Linked DNA regions of Tamandua tetradactyla. The protein of the gene in region 2 interacts with the protein of the main gene of each other region in a biochemical or structural test. Links are inferred from orthologs where the notes say so. Each region holds a gene or a part of one and is shown on either strand. Other genes may lie near its edges.

Region 1 (6,931 bases), about 59 Mb from region 2:
GAATTCATTGCCCTCCCTCCTACAAGGGACACAACATTTATGGGTGAAATTCTCCCTGCAGTGTGGGAGATGATTCCCAGGGATGTCTGGCCCTGGTACCGTGGGATCAACAATGCCATTCTGACCAAAAGTGGGGAAAGAAGTGTTTCAAATAAGGTATCAGTGGCTGAGAGAGTTCAAATAGAATCGAGAGGCTACTCTGGAGGTCACTCTTATGCACACTTCAGTTAAACATTGCTACCTGTAATAACTTGCCAACCCCCCAACCAAAGCCATTCCTGCCAATCCTAAAGAACACCTTCGCCATTATATAAGGTTCTACAAAGGTTCCATGCACTAGGGTAACTTGCAAGAAATCTACAACCTCCAGATGAGTACTCAGACCATGCGAGTCTGAAATGCAGAGGGGTCAGCCTCTCCAGAACATTAACTAGTTCCATCTCCCTTTCCTATACTACCAATACCCCCTTCCAACATGAAAAAGTTAGAATGGGCATAGCCCAAATACCCCTAAAGAGTGGGAGAAAGATTAAAGGTGATGGTGGAGTTATACAGAGAAGGTAGGACTTAACAAATGAGTATCACTGCTGAATCATGATATTTATATTTTTTTAGTCTCCAGTTTCTTGGAGCAGCTAGAAGGAAAAACATAAAATTGTGGAACAGAAACCCATACCAAACTAAAATTTGGTCTACAACTATTTGTTACAATGTACTTTGAATATTTATTGCTTTTTTGTATATATGTTATATTTCATAATAAAAATTGTTTAAAAATTTCACTGAATAAATAAACAAAAAATAATTAGCAATTAAAAAAAAAAGACTAACTTTGAGTGGGTGAAATCACATCTCCACCTAATAAAAAAATCCGAGCCACACTTGTGTGTCACATCTCCATGGAAACAACCTAATCAAAATGTCACACCACAAAAAGAAAAGTCACACCCCAACTGAGCACAGCACATCTCTACGAAAATAATCCAATCAAACTTTCCACCCTAAGTGGTAGGTCTGCCCCCACAAGATTGGATTAGGAAAGAGAACATGGCTTTTCTGGGGTATATAACATCTTCAAACCAGTAACCCTGCCGTTCAGAGGCAGACAAAAATTGGGAGTTTGGGTCTAAAGACATACAGAAGAAGGCATATTTTAAATCGAGTACTAAGTATCTTAGGGCAGAGATAGGAATTTTGTTAAGAAGAGTATAAGGGTTGGAAACTAGAGGATGAAGGGGGAATGGCAAAGCTATTCACAGGTCTGAGGTCCTGTACCAACTCATACGTCCCATGTGGCTTTTTGACAGGCAGGGTAGGGTATCACAGGGAGACTGACAAGTGACTAGAAGGCCAGTTTTCAGGAACTTCTGGGTAAGGGGTTAGATACCCATTATATCTTCAGTTTTAAGAGGGTACTGCTTTCTCTTGGGAAAGGGTTGATCCTGTCAATTGATTAGGATCGGAGAGATGTGAGTAGCGTTTCTGGATATTTCTGTTTCCCATACCACTGGACTGACTTCATTAGCCAGTTCAGGGTGAGACTGTCTGGGTTTCTGGATCCAGCTAAAGCTGGACATACAGTTACAGACACCTCTGAAGCATCCTTAAGACATTGGGTAGGCCAGCAGCCTATTAGCCGGATTTGTGCACCCGATGCCCATTGCAAGTCTCTTCCTAGAAGTGGGCTAGGACACGCTGGTACCACCAAGAACTGATGATTCAAAATTATGCTGCCAATTTGACAAAGAAGGGGCTGGGTGACGGTTTTGGCTTTAGACTTTGGCTTTTACAATAGGACAGACTCACGGGGACATTGGGGCTGAGTAACCGGTCAAACCAGAATAAGTGGCTCCAATATCAATTAAAAAAAATCAATTGCCTTACCTGCCACATTGAAGGTCACTCAAGACTCATCGCAATTGATGTTTTTCAGTGAAGTCCAGGGAGCCACTAGTGGCCCAGGCCTCCTCAATCTTGCTTGGGAGCAGTCACAAAAGCTTTCAGGAGGGTCTCTATTTCCCTCTGGGACTCAGTGCACCCCTGGGCCCAGTGTCCGGCTTTCCTACACCTAAGGCAAGGCCCCAGGGGCTCTTGGTATCCCTGAGGACACTTGTATTTCCAACCCTCCATCTTTCCACACTTGTAGCAGGATCGGGCTGGCTTCTTCCCCAAGTGGCCCCAAGGCAGCTGTTGGCCATGCACAGCAAACACTGTGAGCTGAGCTCTGTCCCTGTCTTTCCTTACCTTACCTTACCTTCCTCTGCAGCCCCGTCCTTTTTATTAAAAACAGAAAAGCAGTGTTTATGAGATCATAGGGGCTTCTGACCCAGAGGCCAGTTCCTTAAATTTCCTCCTTATATCAGGAGCTAACTGACCAATAAAATGTGTAGTTTGCATACACGTTTGGACTGACTCAGGTACTTGTGGGCAGATGCATAAAGTTTAAAATATAAAACCAAACACACCACCCCAGCTCCACACTGTAGTCCCAGCCCTGCTGCAAAATAACTCATTGAGCCTATTCCTATACGCGAGAAATGACAGGAATTTGTTACTTGTTTAAAGAGATTTTTTTAACTAAATGCTAGAATTTGTTCTGGCGTATGAAATATTGTGAAAATTCTTCTGTAGAGGTGACTCTGGAAGACACGGCACAAAATCTGACACTACAGATTAAAACATATATGTATAGTAGACAAAGAGCAGGCCGAGTGTGTCTAATCAGGAATCCAGCTAATCTTTTAGGGTAGTGGACAAAGGCAGACCAAGACCTCCTCCGTCAGGGGAAGGACCTGGAGGCCCAAAGGTGAACTAGTTAGGGCAATTCATTCAGGAATCTGGAATTTCAAATCGGAAACCAGACAGAACGTGTTGGAAAAGCTCCACCTGTCCCCAAATTCTAAAGTACCAACCAAAGACAGTGGGGGTCTGAAAGGGCGGTGATTTCTAGTCCTGGGGCCCGGGTCGCCAGCTCCAGCCCCCTCCCGCGGAAGCGGATCCCGGGACATGTGTTCTCCGGCATGCGGGCGCCTAGCGGTGAGGGCGCATACGAGGAACCGCGCCGGGCCGGGCTCGGCTTTGGGTCTCGGGTGACGTCTTGGGATGGGCACCCGGGACGGCGGCCGGGCTTGCGGAGCCGAAGCGCACGGGAGTCTGGGGGCTCAGGGAGGTGGGAGCGCCAGGATGCAGGATGCTCGGGACAGCGGCGCCACCCACGCTACCTGCAGAGGCCCGCGGAGCAGGAGGCGTCTCCTGCATGTACCCAAATAGGCCGATCTTGATTGGCTCGAAATTCAATCCTCCCGACTCCGATTCCTCCTCCTTTTTTTTTTTGACCGCCTTCGCTCCTTTCCCCTTAGTTGTTCATTTATTTGTATTTCATTCACGTCCGTGCCTTCATGTTTTCTTCCATGTCCTTGCATATCATCGTGATTCTCTAGTAATCATGCGATGCCTTGGGGGAGGCAGGGGCTGGCCTGTGGTGATGTCTGCCCCCGGTGGGTGCCTGGGCAGGCTGCTGTGCGCACCCGCCGCCCTCTCTTCAAGGGCTGTCTTCTTCTCTCCTGAAAAACCTAAAATATCCTGAAAATATAGGAATTCTTTTCATAGACGCTTCAAGTTTCGTGATATGTGTTGACTAGTATCCATATCTCTTCCAAATACTGTGTGAAGCCTCTAAATTCACTTTCAACAACCCTTAAATTATTTTAATAACTATTATGGATACGAAGTAAGAGAAATATATAAGGTTGCGGGGGGGTGGGGGGCGCTTCCTCTGAAAAACTTTTGAGCCAGAAGCGGCTTTGCGAGGTTAGCGGAGGAAACCAGTGACCCTGATGTCAGTTCAGGAGGGAGGAGAACCTTTCTCCAGACACTAGATCGCTGCTTTGAATGCACCTGTAATCCATCACATGCAGCGGGGAAAATCCCAGGAAAGGATAATTTAGCCCTAAGAGTGCATGCACCTGTGAGTGTGCTTGCCGATGCCAAAGACCAAAATCGGGAAGAATTTAGCTTCTATGAAGTCATTAATCTCTGCCTAACGTTCTGAGATTGACACTCGAGTTTGCGCATTTCGCAGGCTCGAGTATTCGTTATTTTGCTCACTTTTTCACAAATTTGTTTTTTTGCCCTTCTATATTACTTGCTGTCCTTTATTCACACCTGCAGCTTGAATTTGATCGCAGCGCTTATTACCGACTTATCAAAATAAAATGTCAATAGGCCCAGAAGCAATTTCTTGCGATCACGGCTCATGCGAAAAGGCCCAGGACAGGAGAACCCTTGAAACGGCCCCAGTGTGACCCTTCTTTGACCAGAATGTGGGCTTTTCTGAACAAGCACTGTGCCTTTGTCCAGTTCTGCCCTGCCCCCTCTCAGTTGAGGAGCTCCCACCCCCAGCCCCGCATTTCTTCCCAGCAGAAAGCCTTGCCTTTAGGAGAGAGGAGGGCTCAGCCCCCAAACTCGGACAACTTGGGGATGTCCCTGGAGAAGCCTAACTGAAGCTGGGAAGGCCAGTTTTCTGCAACACATCTCCCTGGTGACCTTCCGCTGACTAGCTTAGAAACACTTCGACCTTTTTCGGGAGGATGTGAGCATACATTTAGTGTATTTCACATGTTCTATGCAAAATGCCACAGCATCCCATGTAATGTGGTCCATCAGCCTTCTTTCAGCTCTTAAACCCCGAAATGTTAAAACTCTTAGTAAGCCTTTAAACATGCCCTTTCTATATTTGCGGTGGCTGACTCGAAGAGAACCCTCTGGGCAGACTCTAGATATGTTTAGCATGTTTTACTTTAGGTATTGCAGTACAAAATCAGCACTCTCTTGGAAGGTAAAACCCATCTGCCATTTGTTTGCCATTGCAATGCTTTCAAGGTGCCATGTACGTATGCTTGTGAGAATTTTAAAGTGGTTTTCTCTTGGTTGAGGGTGGGAAGAAGTCATGGCCTATTCCACGTGTTCGGAGGCTGTACCCCTTCACTGCACAAATATCCTGGATGATAACATTTGTTCATTTCCTGCATGCATTATTCATTCAACACATTTATTGAATCAGCATTAACACCAGGCACTGGACTATGGAACCATTAAAAAAGAAAAGTAGGTGTCTATGATTTTTATCAGCAAAACTCCTTTCAAAATTGGTCTTCCAGACCATTTACTCTCAAGCAAGCCTGTCTGTCTTACTGGCTAGACTGGAAGCCATTGTTCCCCCCCCCTTCCCTCCCCTTTCCTCCCCTCTTCTCCTCCCCTTTCTACCCCTCCCCTTCCCTTCCCTTTCTCTCCTTTTCTGTTTGGCAATGTTGAACCTTACTCAAGGCCTTTATTTCTGGAAAGGAGCAAAGTTTAAGAAATTCCACCATCCTTTGTATTCTGGAAAACTTTTTTTTTACCAAAAACAACAAGGACAACGTGAAAAAAAAAAACACCCTTCCCCCATATGACTTAGATAAGACTCAGAATGTCCCCTTGTTTACCTATGACAAGGCTGGACACAGACCCTCCACATTCCCTTCCTTTGCCTCATCAATAATTAGCTGGACTGCTGGTTCCCTGCTAATCAATTGCAACAAAATACTTATTAACCAAACATTGCTTAAATTTCTCTCCTTCCCTCTTGAACTTTAATGGTCCCTCCCAGAAAATAGGCTGCTTCAGCATAAAATATTCTCAGATCTACTATTTGATTATGCCAACCTTCATCCCACTTCTTATACCTGGTTCTTTTCTCCCTATAAAAGAAAACTCGTTTTAGCCTACTATGTTATGATCAGAGCATTCTCCCTATTGTGATAGTTCTCCTCTATTTTAATAATCTCTTTCCCACTTTGCAATAATCCTCTTGAATATAGTCTCTCTTTACTAAGTCTGGATTTGTTCTGTTGTTTGATTTGTTTTGTTGTTTGACCTTTTCTTTTCTTTCTTTCTCCCTTCCTTCCTTCCTTTTTTCCCCTTCCTTCCTTTCTTTATTCCTTCCTTCCTTTCTCTCTCTCTCTCTCTCTCTCTCTCTCTCTCTCTCTCTCTCTCTCTCTCTCGCGCTCTCTCTCTCTCTCTCTCTCTCTCTCTCTCTCTCTCTCTCTCTCTCTCTCTCTCTCCTCCTTCCCCTCACTTCCTCCTTTCATTCCCCCCCCTTTTTTTCTTTCTTCCTGCCTTCTTTCTTTCCCTTTTCTTATTTTCTTTGAGGAAAGTTCAAGTTTACCCTATAATGTTTCATCTGCCAATATCACATTGGCTATGGTCCCAAGACAACCCATGAGATTGTTATCCTGGTTTTCTGAAACTAATCAGCCACTAGGTTCAGGCAGAACAATTCTTAAATCTTAGTCCCTTCATCGAAAAGACAATATCTTCCCCCAAACTCATTCTTGGAAAATTTCACTCTAAGTTTTGCTTCAAACCTTCACTAAAGCAGAAGTAAGCCAAGAAATCTCAGCATAGACCCAATCAAAAGGACCCAGCTTTTAAAAATGACAGGGGCAGGGCAGGGCAGGGGTGAAGGAACTGTCAGTGCACAAACCCATGGAAAGCATTCATCCTTAATAAGGTCTGCTGGCTAAGGGGCATGCAGAGCCAGGATCTGTGCAGCTTCTTAGGGCCCTGCACTGAGAAGGGTCCATGTTGCTTTAATACCCTCCTAACATTATCTTGAGATTCTTAATGGTCTTAGAACAAAAGCCCCCCACATTTTCATTCTGCACTGAGCTCAGCAGATTATGCAGATGGTCCTGTGATTTAACTATGTCCTGCCTGATACTCAAGTTCCCTCAGTCACAGAGTCTTTACCACAGATGTCTGAGATGAATATTCTGTTTACAAAAATGTTTGTTACCAGATAACAGTGCCCTGATACGTACAGTGCTTTATCACTGCAGACAGTTTCCACACACATGGGATTCCTTTCAATCTTCCTAGTCACCTAAGGAGG
Region 2 (7,852 bases):
CTTTTGTAATGATGATGTATGGGCCACAAGTGGAAGTGGGAAGCTGGACGTTGGGAGAGGGCAGCGGTGGAAGTTGCTAAGCAGAGTCATGGGGTCCTGACAGTGACTGAGAAGCTGCCCATGCTGCAGGGAGGCCCCTTGGGTCCTGGATGTAAAACAGCAGCTTCTGAAGAGACTTGCTTACCCCCTTCTCCAGCAGGAAAGGAATAAGGGTGAGGAGGTGTGAGCTCTTCCTGGTGGAGGGAAGTGGATGAATAAACTGGGAGTTCTGAGAGGCACACTGGATGCATTTGGGGGCAGGAAAGGAACCGGGGGCATCTCAACTAGAGAGTCCTCCCCCTGTCCCCTCCACTTCCACCTTGAGGAAAGGAGGGTCCTCAAGTTACTCCTCCTCTAAGTTCCAGCTCCAGAACAGAAAGCCCCACACTGACCAGCTCTAGTGGAGACATTCATTCAACACCTACAAATTGAGCGAGGAACAGAATTTGAAGTAGACAAATAAGAGTCAGTGTGCCAGTTTGAAACTATGGTGTACTCCAGAAAAGCCATGCTCTTTAATCCTGATTCAATATTGTTGGGTGGGATCTTTTTTATTAAGTTGTTTCCATAGAGATGTGACCCTTTGATTAGATGGTTTCCATGGAGATGCATCTCCACCCATTCAAGGTGGGTTATAATACGCTTACCGGAACCCTTAAGAGTGAGCCATTTTGGAAAAAGGTTCAGAGCTGACCAGAGAAGAAATCTTTGGAGCTGCAGAAAGAAAATGCCCCAGGAAGGTTTATGGAGTGAGAAGCCAGGAGAGAAAGCTAGCAGATGTGGCCACTTGCCTTTCCAGCTGACAGAGAACCCAGAACATCATCCGCCCTTTCTTGAGTCAAGGTTATCTTTATCTGGATGCCTTAGTTTGGACATTTTTATGGCCTTATGTAAACGTGTAACCTAATAAATTCCTTTTATAAAAGCCAACCCATTTCTGGTATATTGCATTCCTGCAGCATTTAACAAACCAAAACAATTCCAAAATCTAAAACACTCTGAAAATTGATTTTTTTTCCATAACGCATTTGGTAGTAAAACATGCACTGAACTGATATGAGGCTATTTATTATAAGTATGCTCCTACTTAGTAAGAATATTCATATACTTCTGTGCCGAAATATTACTGTGTTAAACTGCAACATGCTGCCCCACGCCCCAATTGGGGAGTTACATAACGTTAGGGTGACCGTACATCCTGATTCACAGGCAATTTGACTTTTATACCAGTTGTTCTAGACTGATTACTTTAGTACACCCTTTCACTCTCCAAAGCCCCGGATTGCAGAATGAATTATAATGTCACTCTATATAATATGCACCAGATTAACTTTCTAAAATCCATGCATTCCAACACCACACCCAGAGCCGGGGGTGGGGGTGGGGGCAACTCTGCTGTTGTCCCCCACTGGGGTCCAGCTGGGGTGACCAGCTCACCAGGAGCTCCCTGCTCTCCTTTTCCTCTGTGGACCTGAACATCTCATACTCCTCCAGCTCCTTCTTCAGGACCCTCAGCCTGGCCTCCAGGAGCTCCTGCAGAAGAGAGAGAAGTGAGAAGGAGAGGGGCAAGGAGTCTGGGAAGTCGCTTTCTGGAGCCATCCAGGAAGTCCTTGCTCATTGAGGAGGCTGGTGGCAGCCTCCACTGGATATCGGGAAGGATGCAGCACACCCAGGGTAACTCCAAAGGCCCTGGGGTCTCACTTCCTCCAGGTCACCAGCTGCACACTGCAGGCTGAAACACAAGCCCCCCTCCGGCGCAGCCCGCGTCGTCTCTGCTCCCCTTTGGATGGAAGGGTTGAGCATGGTGGGAGAGCAAGCACAGAGCGCCCGAGGCCTCCACACACTGCCGGGCCGCGGCCCCAGCAAGGAGGCCGCAAGGGGCCATGGGGATGGCTTCAGCGAACTCCTCACGCGGGTCAGGAATCCGGCTCTTGCCCCCTCGGCCTCGTGGAGGTCGCTCCACCAGGTCCCGGAGGGGAGGGGGGACACTGAGCAAGGCCACGCCCGGGAGACGAAGCTGAGTGGGGTCAGGGGACGTGTGGGTGTGACGGGGTTTCTCCTGAGCCAAGAGCTGCAATAACCGAGAGGCCGCTAGAGGCCCGGAACCGAGAGGAAGAAAATCGCAAGGTCCGTGGGGGCGTCACGCAGGCGATCCAGCATGGGAACCAGAGGGAAATGCGGGCGCGCGTGTGCGTGCGTGTGTGTGCGTGTTGGTGGTGTGGTGCTGACAGGAGAACCGCCTTCCGCCCCGGAGGCAGCGCTGGGCGGCGGCGGATAGGAGAAAGGGGGCAGGGACTCACCAGCGCCCCTGCCTGCCTGCCTGCGAGTGGGATGCACCGGGTGTGCGGGCTGGTAGGCTCAGAGCCCAAGGGTCGCGGGGACAGGCGAGGTATGACCGGATTCTCACCTTGGCCTCTTGCACCGCCTCGTCCAGTGGCAGCACCGCGTGTGAGCGGTGCTCGCGGGCACGGTCGCACACCACGCAAATGGCGCGCCCGTCGTCCTGGCAAAAGAGCTTGAGCGGCTCTCCGTGCAGCCCGCAGCTGGCCGCCGCCTCCCGCCGTCCGCGCTCCCCGCCGGCGGCCGCGGGCAGGCTGAATCGCCGCAGCAGCGCGGCCACGGCGGCCAGCTGCCGGTTGGGCCGCAGGTGGTCCGGGCGCGTCGGCTCGCGGCACTGCGGGCAGGGAAGAGGGCTGGACCGGGCAGGGGGCGCGGCGGGGGCCCCGGAAGCCGGGCGCTCCCAGCAGCGCGAGATGCACGCGCGGCAGAAGCTGTGGCCACACTCGACAGACACGGGCTCCCGGAAGAGCTCCAGGCAGATGGAGCACGTCGCCTCGCCCTGCAGCTCTGCAGCCAGCGCCAGCGCCTCGGCCCCGGCCCCCGGGCCTGTCCGGGGTCCCACGGCCGCCATACGTGCGCTCCGCACACACGGCCCCGGGAGCGGGCCGGCCTCCTAGCGCCTACTCGGAGAGGAAGGGCGGAGCCGAGGCCGGAAAGGCGGAGCCGAGACCCGGAAGGCGGAGCCGTGAGCCCGGGGCGCGTCCGCCCGGGAGCCCCGCGGGGAGGGTGCGCGCTGGAGACTGGCGAGATGGGAAGGGCGAGGGGATTTGAAAGGCGGACGGTGCCGTGCGCCCGCCACCTGGGTCTCCCCCCGACGCTCCAGCCTGACCCCGTCAGCCCCGGGAAACGGGCCGCGACAGGTGGGCGCGCGAATCCCACTGGGCGCCGCTCCCGGCCGCCTCCCGAGGGTGACCCGACACCGTCGGGGCAAGGGCCCGGCTCCGGGCCGCGGTGTCAGGTTCCCGGGGCGCAGGCCGGAGGCAGGCCCTAACCCCGAGCGAAGCTAAATTTAGGGCGGAAACCTGGCTCTGGGCCCCACCCCCAACCCCCCAAGCCCCAGGCCTGGCCTTCTGTCCAGCGACACATACCTCCACCCCGCTTATTTTTATTTTGGTTTGGAACAAGTATTGCATTTACAAGAAATTTTCCCACTTTCTTAAGTGTCACGTCCTCCCCACCCACACCCCAATCCACCCCCTCGTGCGCCCCCTGCTCGGTTCCACAGCCCCGCTCCGGCTCCGGAGCTGCCGGTGTCATATGCTCTCTGTCCTCTCGCTTCGGTCACTCTGGAGGGCACTCGGGCCCGGCTTTCGCCCCACCCTCCTCGGAAACCATTCTCATCAAGGTCACCGGTGGCCTCCACGAGCCTATATCCTAGGTTCGTTCTCAGGCCTCGCCTCACCTGTGCTCTGATCGCTCAACTTCGATGGCCTTTCTCTGCGCGCCTGGCTCTTCTCCCAGCTCACTGCGTCGCCCCCCTTCTCTGACTCCTTTGAGGTTTCCTTCTCCTTTCCTGACCCCCAGTCCGTCCCCGGACTCCCCAACTCACTCCCTGTGGCCTCTCCCACTTTACATATATATATATATATACACACATATACAGAATGTGTATATAGATACACACACACACACTTTAAATTTACATGTAAATATTTATGTGCTTCAAGTGTGTGTGTGTGTGTGTATCTATATACACATTCTGTATATGTATATATATATTTATTAAGATATCTTCACACATGTGCAGTTCATCCATAATATATGGCCAGTGGCTCACAAAACATCATATAGTTGCGTATTCAGCATCACGAGTGCATTTGTATCACTCCAGAAAAAGAAATAAAGAGAAAAAACTCGTACATCCCATACCCCTTGCCCGTCCTTCTCATTGACCACTAGTATTGCAATCCACCCAAATTTTTACCCCATCTTCCCCTATTATTTATTTACTGTCCTTATTTTTTTTACATATATGTCCATACCCTGGATAAATGGAGTATCAGCCACAAGGTTTCACAATTCCAAATTGTAAAAGCTATATAGTTATATAATTGTCTTCAAAGTCAAAGCTGCTGGAACACAGTTCAATGGTTTCAGGTGCCCCTCCGATGCATCATAAACTAAAAAGGGATATCTATATAACGCATAAGAATACCCTCCAGGATAACCTCTTGCCTCTGTCTGAAATCTCTCAGCCACTGAGACTTTATTTTGTCTCATTTTTCTCTTCCCCTTTTTGGTCAAGAAGGCTTTCTCAGTCCCATGATTCCGGGTCCCAGCTCATCCCGGGAGTCCTGTCCCACGTTGCCAGGGAGATTTACATGCCTGGGAGTCATTTCCACATTGGGGAGGCTCTCCCACTTTTGGGCTTGAAAGACCACCTCCTTACTGATGATTCTACAGTAACCTCCAAGCCCCCCTCGAACATCTGGCTCGCACATTCAACCCCCACCTGTTTCTTCTAAGGGGCTGAATCCAAACTACTTCTGATTGGCCCCCAAACTTGCTCCTCCCAAAGCCTTCCCCACCCCATTTAAGGCAACTCCACCCCACCAGGTGCACAGGCCAAAATCCTGGAATTGTCTCTGACTGTTCTTTTGCTCACACCCCATGCCCAGCCCACAGCACCTCCCCAATTCCTCACCACTCTCCGTCTCCACTGCATCACATACGATAATCACAATTCTCTCCCCTTGTGCCTGGCCACCATCCCTTGTCTTCTCCACTTAGCAGCCAGAAAATCCTGTTCAATTGTTAGGTCAGATTATGGCCCTCTGCTCGGACTCTCTAATGGTCCCCACCTCCCTTAGTCCTTACAGCTCCCCATTCTGGTTCCCTGACGCCCTACACCCGTCACTGTCCTGTTCTCTGCTCTCATGTCCTACTCACGCCACTGCTGACTCCACTCCAACACACGGGCCTCCTTGCTTTCCCTACCACATCATATCAGAAGGATTTCTATCTCAGAGCCTTTACACTGGCTGCTCCCTTTGCTTGGACCTCTCCTCCCCTAGATTCTAGCCTGGCTCTCTTTCCACCTCTTCAAAGTCTTGGCTTAAATGTCACCTTTTCAATGAAGCCTGCCTGGCTACACTGTTTTGTTTTTTTCTCTGTTCATTTGTTTTTTCTACGAGATAAAGAATTTATTACTAGGTGCTGTTCTAGTTTGCTAGCTGCTGGAATGCAACACACCAGAGACGGATTGGCTTTTAATAAAAGGGGATTTATTTTTGTTGGTTCTTCAGAGGAAAGGCAGCTAACTTTCCACTGAGGTTCTTTCTTACGTGGAAGGCACAGGATGGTCTCTGCTGGTCTTCTCTCCAGGCCCCTGGGTTCCAACAACTTTACCCGGGGTGATTTCTTCCTCCATCTCCAAGGGCCTGGGCTGAGCTGCAAGTGCTGAGATGAGGAATGCCAAGCTGCTAAACTGTGCTACGTTGGGAATCTCTCATTTAAGCACCAGCCAATTAAGTCAAACATCACTCATTGCAGCAGACACGCCTCCTAGCCGACTGCAGATGTAATTGGCAACAGATGAGGTTCACATACCGTTGGCTTATGTCCGCAGCAACAAGATTAGGTATGCTCACCTGGCCAAGTTGACAACTGAATCTAACTAACACAGGTGCATAGTAGGACAGCAGATGATCTAGCGGCCCAAAATCTGTCCCCCCAAGTTTAGGGGGTTCAAGGTTTTTAAACATTTTAGCAAGGGGAGATAAAGTCATTTGAATAGCAAATTCAAAGGAGAAAAGGAGAGAGTGTGATGGTCATTTCAATAGAAGAATAGAAGCTGAAAGGAAAGGAAGCAAAGCTATATTACTTCATCACTAAAGGTGTGAGCCCGAAGGAAGGGAGACAAGTTATCTTGCAATAGGAGAATCTAGCTGGTACAATTTGCAAATGTCTGGGGCTGAGGCTAGTCAGTGGCTGACTTCATTAGCATTAGGGCATTTGCCCTACAAGAAAATGACCAGATAAAGGGCATAATAGCTCTTACAGCCATAAAGGCACAAGAGAAGGGCTTTTACAATCATTTCAGATATCAGGGCAGCTGAATTGTAGTTTAGGGCTTTCAGGTATTCCCTCTGCCTACTCCAACATCCCAAAAAGAAAAAAGGAATATGATTCGTAATCAAAATCATCCCTTAAATCCTAATTTCTTGGTTACAATTCCTCCGTCTCATTTGATAATTATCTCTCAATCTTGAGGGATACCTGGTGATGACTCTCTAACTTCTTCAAGGCTGAAAATGGGGGGGGGGGGTTATCAAGAGACAAGGGGTTGAACTGATGAAACCAGTTGTTATTCTTGGAGAGCCCAGTATCTCTTGGTTTCAGAGCTTCTCTGGCATTGGAACAATCTGAAGGTTTCAAGTCTCTGAAAAACAAACTTAATAAGTAAAATTTTATAGCGCATAGGCTATCTTTCAAGGTTTCCAGGAACACTATTGGTTGGGGTTTGCCATCTTGTGACAGTTCGCAATATCTGGCTGAAACTTGCATAAAAGTAACCTCCAGAATGACCTCTCAACTTGATTTGAAATCTTTTAGCCATTGAAACTCAATTTATTTATTCCTTTTGGTCAACTAATCCATGATGCCAGGGCCAGACTCATCCTCGGTACTTATGTCTCATGATGCCAGGGCCAATTGTGTCTCACACTGCCAGAGCCAGGCTTACAATCCTGGAGATCATGTCCCACATTGGGGAGAAGCTCAGAGTTTGGCTTAGAGAGGCACATTTGAGCAACAGAAGAGATTTTTCTGGAGATGACTCTTGGGCACCAATCCTATGTAAGTTCAGTTTACTATTACAGAAATAAGTTTCATAAGGGCAAGTCTCAAAACTGAGCCTTGGTTTATTAAATTGGGAGCCCCTCTTGCTTAAGAAAATGTAGGAGCCAAAGGGTTAAAACAAGACCTGCAGAATTTGTTGGGAGCAGCTGGCATCCCTGGGCAGGCAAGAAACTGAGGAGATTGTTACCTGCTTTGTTTGGAACAGTCTGGAGGAACAGAATGCTTGTTTACCCCCAAATGGTTACCTTAAGTATGAAGAAAGTTAAGTACTTTGTTTCCTCAGGAAATGCAGGCATGCCTTTTGTTACCCTGCAGTATATAAGCAGGATCTGGTTCAGAATAAAGTTGTCTGTTGTTTGTAAAAGTTAAGCTTCAGACCCCCGATCCCATCTGTCTCTTTCTTTCTTTCAGTCTCTCTCTTTCTTTCTCGTCATTCCTTAATATCCTTCGAGCTCCGTTTCATAGGAAGCAACAAGAAAATGTCAGGAATTCCCCAGGTAGGGAAGTTTAATACCTCTATTTTTCTCAGTCCCTCAAGGGACTTTGCAAACACTTTTTCATTTTCTGCCCAAAATACTCTGAAATGCATCATTGCACAACATTAGCTTGTACAGAACATTAAGATTGTGTTCTTATTCCAGGTTCCATATTAAATAAAGCTGAATTAGGTTGT

Evidence for each region. The genes of interacting proteins can lie anywhere in the genome.
Region 1: the proteins of TRIM7 (region 2) and RNF187 interact in a test that uses a peptide from one of them, tested with the Homo sapiens proteins (2 studies listed by BioGRID, with this or other methods). The link is inferred for Tamandua tetradactyla from reciprocal best matches to the Homo sapiens genes TRIM7 and RNF187.

Annotation. Positions count from the first base shown.
Region 1 is NC_135346.1:62,360,722-62,367,652, forward strand, and holds the start of RNF187 (E3 ubiquitin-protein ligase RNF187), read right to left. Parts: upstream 3,023-6,931; coding exon 2,909-3,022; intron 1-2,908.
Region 2 is NC_135346.1:3,285,114-3,292,965, forward strand, and holds the start of TRIM7 (E3 ubiquitin-protein ligase TRIM7), read right to left. Parts: upstream 3,004-7,852; 5' UTR 2,951-3,003; coding exon 2,447-2,950; intron 1,573-2,446; coding exon 1,477-1,572; intron 1-1,476. UniProt on the Homo sapiens protein: E3 ubiquitin-protein ligase that have both tumor-promoting and tumor-suppressing activities and functions in several biological processes including innate immunity, regulation of ferroptosis as well as cell proliferation and migration.